2 linked regions of the Sus scrofa genome follow. The protein of the gene in region 1 purifies or fractionates together with the protein of each later gene. This does not show direct contact. Links are inferred from orthologs where the notes say so. Each region holds a gene or a part of one and is shown on either strand. Other genes may lie near its edges.

Region 1 (3,817 bases):
CTTTCTTGGTAGGGGCTAATGCAACTGGTAACTTTAATTTTAAGCCATTGTTCATTGACCATCCAAAAATCCTAGTGCCTTTAAGAATTATGTTAAATCTGTTTTGGCTATACTCTATAAATGGGACAATAAAGCCTCGATAACAGTACATTTGTTTACAACATGTTTTAGTGAATATTTTAAGCCCGCTGTAGAGACCTACTGCTCAGGGGGAAAAAAAAAAAAAAGCCTTTCAAAATATTACTGCTCATTGACAAAGCACCTGGTCGCTCAAGAGCTCTTTTGGAGATGTACATTGTTTTCATGACTGCTAACATAGCATCCATTCTGCAGCCCATGGAGCAAGGAGTAATTTCAACTTTTAAGCAATACATCTTATAAGGCTGTAGCTGCCATAGGTAGTGATTCCTCTGATGGATCTGGACAAAGTCAATTGAAAACCTTCTGGAAAGGATTCTAGATGCTGTTAAGAACATTCATGATTCATGGAAGGAGGTCAAAATATCAACATAAACAGGAGTTCGGAAGAAGTTACTTCTAACCCTCATGAATGAGTTTGAGAGGTTCAGGACTTTAGTGGGGGAAGTAACTACAGTTGTGGAAATAACAAGAGAGCTAGAATTAGAATTGGAGCCTAAAGATGTGACGGAATTGCTGACATCTCATGATAGAACATTAATAAGAAAGTGGTTCTGGGAGTTCCCATTGTAGCCCAGCAGGTTAAGAACCCAGCATTGTCCCTGTGAGAATGTGGGTTCGATTCCTGGCCTCGCTCAGTGTATTAAATATTTGATATTGCCGTAGCTGTGGTGTAGGCCACAGCTGCAGCTCCGATTAGACCTCTTGCCTGGAAACTTATATATGCCACAGGAGCAGCTGTAAAAACAAAAAAAGAAAGTGGTTTCTTGAGATAGAATCTACTCCTGGTGAAGATGCTGTGGGATTGATGAAATGACAGTGAAGGATTTAGATAGAATATTACATAAATTTAGTTGATAAAACAGGGCTAGGGAGGACTGCCTCCAATTTCGAAAGAAGTTCTAATGTGGGTAAAATGCTGCCTGTGTGAGAGTCAGTCAAAATAGCAAACTTCACTATTGCCTTACTTTAAGAAAATTGCTGCAGCCACCCAAGCCTTTAGCAACCACTGCCCTGATCAGTCAGCAGCCATTAACATCAAGGCAAGACCCTCCACCAGCAAAGATATTATGACTTGCTGAAGGTTCAGATAATGGTTAGCATTGTTTAGCCGTACAGTGTTTTTTTAATTAAGGTACGTATTTTTTTTTTTCAGATGTAATGTTGTTGCATGCTTAACAGACTACAGTATAGTGTAAACATAACTGTTACATGCACTGAGAAACTAAAGACTTCCTGTGACTTACTTTATTGCAGTTTGCTTCCTTGTGGTGGTCTGAAACCCAACTTGCAGTATCTCCAAGGTGCCTGAACTTTTATATTATTTTATATATTTATTTTGCCTTTTCTAGGGCCGCTCCCTCGGCATATGGAGGTTCCCAGGCTAGGGGTCTAATCGGAGCTGTAGCCTCTGGCCTATGTTAGGGCTGCAGCAACTCGGGATCCGAGCCGAGTCTGCCACCTACACCACAGCTCACAGCAACGTGGGATCCTTAACCCACTGAGCAAGGCCAGGGATTGAACCCACAACCTCATGGTTCCTAGTCGGATTCGTTAACCACTGTGCCATGACAGGAACTCCCCTGCCTGAACTTTTAAATTGTATAAAAGTGACTAAAGGAAAAGCATGATAATTTTTATCAGACAATGTTTTAATTGCCTTTTTTATTGTGTGCCTATTTAATTCCTGTAATAGAGCCATAAATATCATGGATTATAAATAGCTGCTTACATAAATAATGTATCCTCTCTCCCTCTCTTCTCTCAAGATTGAAAAGGCCAAACCCATTAAATGTGGAACATTTGGTGCAACATCTTTACAGCAGAGATATTTAGCTACTGGGGATTTTGCTGGAAACCTTCATATATGGTAAGATTATTTCATCAGTGTTGAGACATGAGATAAGCAATTTCTTTGATAGTCTAGTTATTCTTCCTCTGAAAGAATTCTAATTTTAAAATGTTTCAAATTTACCAGATTTTAAACTTTAACTGTTTATAAGAATGACAATTACTTTTCAATATCTATTTTTAGATTTCATGTTTAAAATCCATTTTAAGACACTAGCATATTTATCTTTAGATATTTCAAATGATGTTATTAGTATTTATTTCCATCCATGCTATTTAATGCTAGCATTTAATACCCATATTTGTAAATAAAGGGCTATTCCTCTTCAGCATGAAGGATGCAGTATATAAAAATGCTCACATGGGAGTTCCCATCATGGCACAGCAGAAATGAATCTGACTAGGAACCATGAGGACACAGGTTCGATCCCTGGCCTCACTCAGTGGGTTAAGGATCCGGTGTTGTCGTGAGCTATGGTGTAAGTGGCAGCTGCAGCTCTGATTTGACCCCTGGCCTGGGAACCTCCATATGCCGTGGGTGCGGCCCTAAAAAAGGCAAAAAAAAAAAAAAAAAAAAGAAGCTAAAAAAGCTCAAATGTAACACTGAAAAATTAGATATTGTTTACATTTTAAGATGATATTTGGCATTACAGAATGATACACTGTATTTTTGTATGTTTTAATTTTTTCCTCCAATTCATTAAATTTTTTTTCCTTTTTTTTATGTTTTAGCTAACATCTGAGCACAGCTTTTTAGGAACACATCTGTTGAGTAAATCAAGATAAACCTGTTTTGAATGAGCAAAATCACAATTGTGCCAGTTGCTTTTAATTTTCATGTTTTACATAGAGTTATTTCCTCATTTTTAAATGAGTTGAATGAACTGAAATTCCTCTCATTACTTTTGAAGAAAATCTCTTAAATCATTTAAAGTATGCAGTAATTTTTTGGAAGAACTATCTTCCCTACCTTATGTTTTCTATTGTGACCTTTCTTGATTCTAACTTAGAATCTATTACTTTGTAATTAAACTACTTTGACATATTTATCTGTCTTAAAGTCATAGTATAACAAGAATGGAACGATTTTCCTTCCCTATGCTTTAACTACTTAAAAGTTAAGTTAGCATTTATTAGGATGCATTCGTTTTTACCTGTTTGGTCATATACTTTCAAAGAACTTGGGAGAGAGAGCAGTCTGAGTGGTTTGGTTTGTTTTGTTTTGTTTTTGGGTGTGCCCGTGGCATGTGGCAGTTCCTGGACCAGGGATCAAACTCGCACCACAGCAGTGACCCAGGCCACTGCAGGGATGCTGGATTCTTAACTCCGCTGAACCACAGTGGAACTCCTGGGTGTTATTTATTTATTTATTTATTTATTTTGGTTTTTTGGCTTTTCTGGGGCCGCTCCCGCAGCACATGGAGGTTCCCAGGTCAGAGGTCGAATCGAAGCTGTAGCTGCCGGCCTACCCCAGAGGTCAGAGGTTGAATCGAAGCTGTAGCTGCCGGCCTACCCCAGAGCCACAGCAAGGTGGGATCCGAGCCACCTCCGCAACCCACACTACAGCCCACGGCAACTCCGGATCCTCAACCCACTGAGCAAGGGCAGGGACTGAACCCACAACCTCATGGTTCCTAGTTGGAATTCGCTAACCACTGCACCACAACGGGAACTCCCTGGGTGTTATTTTTTAAAATAAATATATTTTAGCACAAGAATATGCAGCAGATATAACTATTGACTCTCTTGCTAATAGAGCTTCCTAGGATAGTGCAGGTATTACTGTCTTACTTTCATTGGTAAGTCATAAGCTCACATGAAAAGAAGT
Region 2 (4,342 bases), on another chromosome or scaffold:
AGCATATGGCGGTTCCCAGACTAGGGGTCAAATCGGAGCTATAGCTGCTGCCTATGCCACAGCCACAGCAACACAGGATCCAGGCCGCCATCTGTGACCTACATCACAGCTCACGGCAACACCGGATGCTTAACCCACTGAGCAAGGCCAGGGATCGAACCTGTGTCCTCATGGATACTAATCAGATTTGTTCGTTTCTGCTGAGCCACGACGGGAACTCCAATCAAAGTCTGGTTTTAAGGGAAAGGAAGCAGGGCCTCTGACACACACCTCTTCTGTTAGTAGGATGACTAGAATGCTGCTCCATCTGAACACCTACAGGTGTGGTGCCTGGGAAAGAATCACAACATCACATGACCAACAACCCATGCTATTATTTTACTATTAACAATTTCATATAAGTTCTCCCCAGCACATATCAGGCTGCTCCAGTTTGGGAAGGAAAAAGTATGAAAGGGTGTGTACTGTTCTATTTTATGGCCAAACATAAGTAACTGTTCTTGAATTGTTCGTGCTCTCATCCTTTCACTAAAAAACAAAACAAAACAAAAAACTGTTTCTAGTAATGTTTCTTTTCTCTGGACAAAACAGTACTTTAACTACGCCCAAACTTTAAGCGTCTCCTAAAAATGTGGGCAAATACTGTGTTCTCCCCTAGTTTTGATTTCTGCGGGATCAGCCCTTTTCCTATCCTGTAAGGTAACTTAAAAACTCTGGTTCTCCAACATCTCTAATGGACCAGTAGCTGAGGGCATGAGGAGGGCAGGGGAAAGAATGGACACGGATAAAGAAAATCTGAGAGCACTAGAGGAAAACACTTGAGAAAATGTTTTACATAGGATAACTCGAGGGGTCGGTAAGCCAGCACTCTCAGGTACCATTCACGGCCTCAATAGATAGTATTTGCCTAAGAGGGAAAGGTCCATGCATAGGAACGAGTCAGAGGCAGTAAACCACAACTCCCAGCGTGCCCAGAAGGCTAGTTACCGCCCAGCTCAGTCTGATCGGACTACAACTCCCATTCCACCCCGCATCAAAGGGGCCAGGTGTTCTCTCAACTGCCGGTTTAGGTCCCGCCCCTTCTAGTCCTCCCCGTAGCCAAAGCTGGAACGAAAGCATGGAAACTGTCAAGTCATTCTCCACCTTGGCGTCCGAAAGGAGTCGAGACGCATGAGTTTAATGACCTCACCTGCGGTGTTAATGGAAAGCCTCTACCCCAGCACCCACCCTTATAGTTGACACACATGCGCAGTGGCGTTCCGGCCAACTACCCGATCCTTGGCGCTTGCGCCAAGGTTCGCGCCGCACGCGGCCGGGAGCGGCCACCCCATTGCGCAAGCGCCTCTGCCCTCTCATTGCCATCACCGTGCTCTCTCTACCTAGCTTGCCCCGCGTTCTTGCGTAGGGGGCGGGGCTAAGAATGTCAATTGGCCTGTTTCCGTGCCGGTCAGTGAGATGGGTGCGGTGATTGGGGGCGCCCGGGAGGGTAGCGGGGTTGGGTGTAAGCCCTGAGGAGGCAGCGTTTTCTGGGCTTCTCGCTGGTTCTCTCTCTCCAGAAGGTTCTGCCGGTTCCCCCTGCTTTGGGTACCCGGCTCTGCATCGCGCCGCCATGATGGGCCATCGTCCGGTGCTCGTGCTTAGTGAGTTTTGGGAAAGCTGGGGAAGGGACCCCCTCTTCATCTCCCTCTTTCGGCACTTTACAGCCTTGCCTCAGCCCAGTCCCGCCCTGGTCCGGCCCCTGAGCCTTCCAGTCGTTCATTTTGGAAGCCCCTTCTGCTTTCCTGTCTACCCTTAACGTATTCCCATGTCTACACAAACGCAAACTGACCTTTCTCTCTCGAGCCTCATTTTTCCGGGCTCTGGCCTCGGGAAGATGCTTCCCACTCGGCATTCTGTTCTTCACCTCCAACCCCCGCCCTTGCAACCTTCTTTGAGTGATTTTCAGTGTGCAGTTTTGTGACTAACGGCTTTTAAGTTTGGCCTAGCATTTTAACCTTGGCCCATCCCTTAGTAGTGGTGTGGCGTCAGCCACGTTGTTTGATTGAAACGTTTCCATCTTTATTATTAGGATTAACTATTTTCCCGTAAGATTGTGACTCAAGTGAGATAAGTAGAGACAATTGCTTAAAAGAGCGAGTGGTAGCCTTGGTTATTTGTATTTTCAGTAATTGTCCTCTTGAATTTCCATTCTGCAACTTCTGTTCCTCAAGTAACCCTACCTTCCTCACTGGTTTATCTTAGATGTAGTTATTCCCTTGATATCCCCTCCGTGGTAATCTTTCCCACTTACCAACTGAGTTTTCCCACATTTTTCCATTGGGTCTCTTTACCTATGGGGAATGAGTCGCATTTCTGTTGTCTTCCTCGGGTATGTTTCTGTTCTGTGTAATCTCAGCCTTATTAGTCATTTTCCGTCCCTCTCTTATGCGTGTAGAATGCTATCGATTTTCTGTATACCTGGAAAATAACTGTTTGCAAACAAGAATCCACTTAACCCAGAAAAAAAAACCAATTTTTTTCTGATGAATCCAATCAGAAAGGTCCATGCAGGATTTTGGTTATCAGTGCCTGAAATAGGAATCTAAATCCTGAGAACTGTGAATGAATGTTTAGGTTTGATGGGTGGGAAATTTTACAACAAACTGTAGGGAAGTATAATTTGGAGAGAGGAGTGAAATAAACATTCTTTTGATTCAGGTATAGCCATTGAGAGGGCCCTAAGGTGAGTAGTGCGTTGTTCAGCTCTTTTGAGGTCGGAGTTAATCCCTTGCATTAGCGGCCCTAACCTATTAGACTTCCTATTAAAACATGTAGGTCACACTTACTGATGGTCAGTGGGTTCCTGAGGCATTCTGGTTATGTCCAAGCATGAAGTGATTGTATCTCGCAAACCCAGATGCTTTTGAGTGTGTGTTCTCATTCCATAGCACACAGGGGAGAAGGGGGGAGGAACTATTTAATAATTACGCTGGGAATGTCAGTATGATTCTGTGTACCCAATTATGAGGACATGAATCCCCCAAGTTTTCCTTTTTACATAAGGGAGTGATTGATGCTTTTTTAGGGTCACCAGGTCTTTAAAAATCTGATGGATCTTAGGTTATGAATCCTTGTTATACATACATGAATATTTGATTAGAGAGAAAGTGATGACTAAGATTCCAAAGTTGAAGCTTTATGAATTGTTTCTTAGTATACCAGGAGTTGAAGTAAAGAAAGAAATAAGTATGTATGTTTACTTATTAACAGCTCGTTGAGGTGCAATTGATATACAAAAAGTTGCACATATTTGAAGAGTATAAGTTGGTAAGCTTTGATCAGTGTATACATCTGGGAAACCAGTATGTGTTTTTGTTTTTTTTTTTTTTTTTTGTTTGCTTCTTAGGGCCAAACCCGCGGCATATAGACGTTCCCAGGCTAGGGGTCCAATCCGAGCTGCAGCTGCTGGCCTAGGCCACAGCCACAGCAATGTGGGATCCAAGCCTCATCTTCGACCTACACCACAGCTCACTGCAACGCCAGATCCTTAACCCACTGAGCAAGGCCAGGGATCGAACCCAAAACCTCATGGTTCCTAGTTGAGTTCATTTCCGCTGCACCACCAGGGAAACTCCTGTTTTTATTTTCAAAGATTGGGAAATAAATGAATAACTTATATACAATGGGGCAGTCCTGGACTATTGCCTTTTGTTTTTATCTGTTTTAGGCCAGAACACAAAGCGTGAATCTGGAAGAAAAGTTCAGTCTGGAAACATCAATGCTGCCAAGGTAGCCTATCTTATAAGTTGTCTGCCTCTAGCTATCTTCCCTGGTGTTTCAGTTTTTGTGATTTGACAGAGGAAAAGTTGACTTCCTTTCCCTCTTGGTGGTAAAGAAAAGGAATCATTTTCTCTCTGAGCTGGGCCTAACGGTCTACTCAAATTAACTTTTGCGAATTCTGTTCCTGTATACTATCTCATAATATTCTATTTGTGTTTATCTCCCATACTAGATGGAATTACTTGGAAGGAAGAACTATATTCACTTTTATATTCCTAATATTTGCTATAGCTCTTGAATAGGTATCTACAGTAAATGCTTTTTGAATGAAACAATGAAATAGCCCTAGATCTAATTTAGCATGAGGTAGAGGCCACTATCATGGAAAGAAATACAAGTACATGGACTTTCAGTTATCTAGATTGCTGGGAAGCTGAAGCACTGGGAGGCGTGTCCCCCCTCCTTTTTTTTCCTTTTTTTTTTTTTAACTTTTTAAAGCCCAGCTCATGGCATATGGAGGTTCCCAGGGTAAGGGTTGAATTGGAGCTACAGCTGCCAGCCTACACCATAGCTCATGGCAACC

What was found.
Region 2: the proteins of WDR92 (region 1) and CCT3 purify together in Homo sapiens (affinity purification with mass spectrometry; 3 studies listed by BioGRID and IntAct, counting the BioPlex papers as one, with this or other methods). This does not show direct contact. The link is inferred for Sus scrofa from reciprocal best matches to the Homo sapiens genes DNAAF10 and CCT3.

Annotation. Positions count from the first base shown.
Region 1 is NC_010445.4:74,091,321-74,095,137, forward strand, and holds part of WDR92 (WD repeat-containing protein 92), read left to right. Parts: intron 1-1,907; coding exon 1,908-2,008; intron 2,009-3,817. UniProt on the Homo sapiens protein: Key assembly factor specifically required for the stability of axonemal dynein heavy chains in cytoplasm.
Region 2 is NC_010446.5:93,732,483-93,736,824, forward strand, and holds the start of CCT3 (T-complex protein 1 subunit gamma), read left to right. Parts: upstream 1-1,484; 5' UTR 1,485-1,609; coding exon 1,610-1,640; intron 1,641-1,828; exon of another isoform or gene 1,829-2,547; intron 2,548-3,706; coding exon 3,707-3,768; intron 3,769-4,342. Other genes in the region: TSACC (TSSK6-activating co-chaperone protein), read right to left, coding at 271-330, 1,228-1,246. UniProt on the Homo sapiens protein: Component of the chaperonin-containing T-complex (TRiC), a molecular chaperone complex that assists the folding of actin, tubulin and other proteins upon ATP hydrolysis.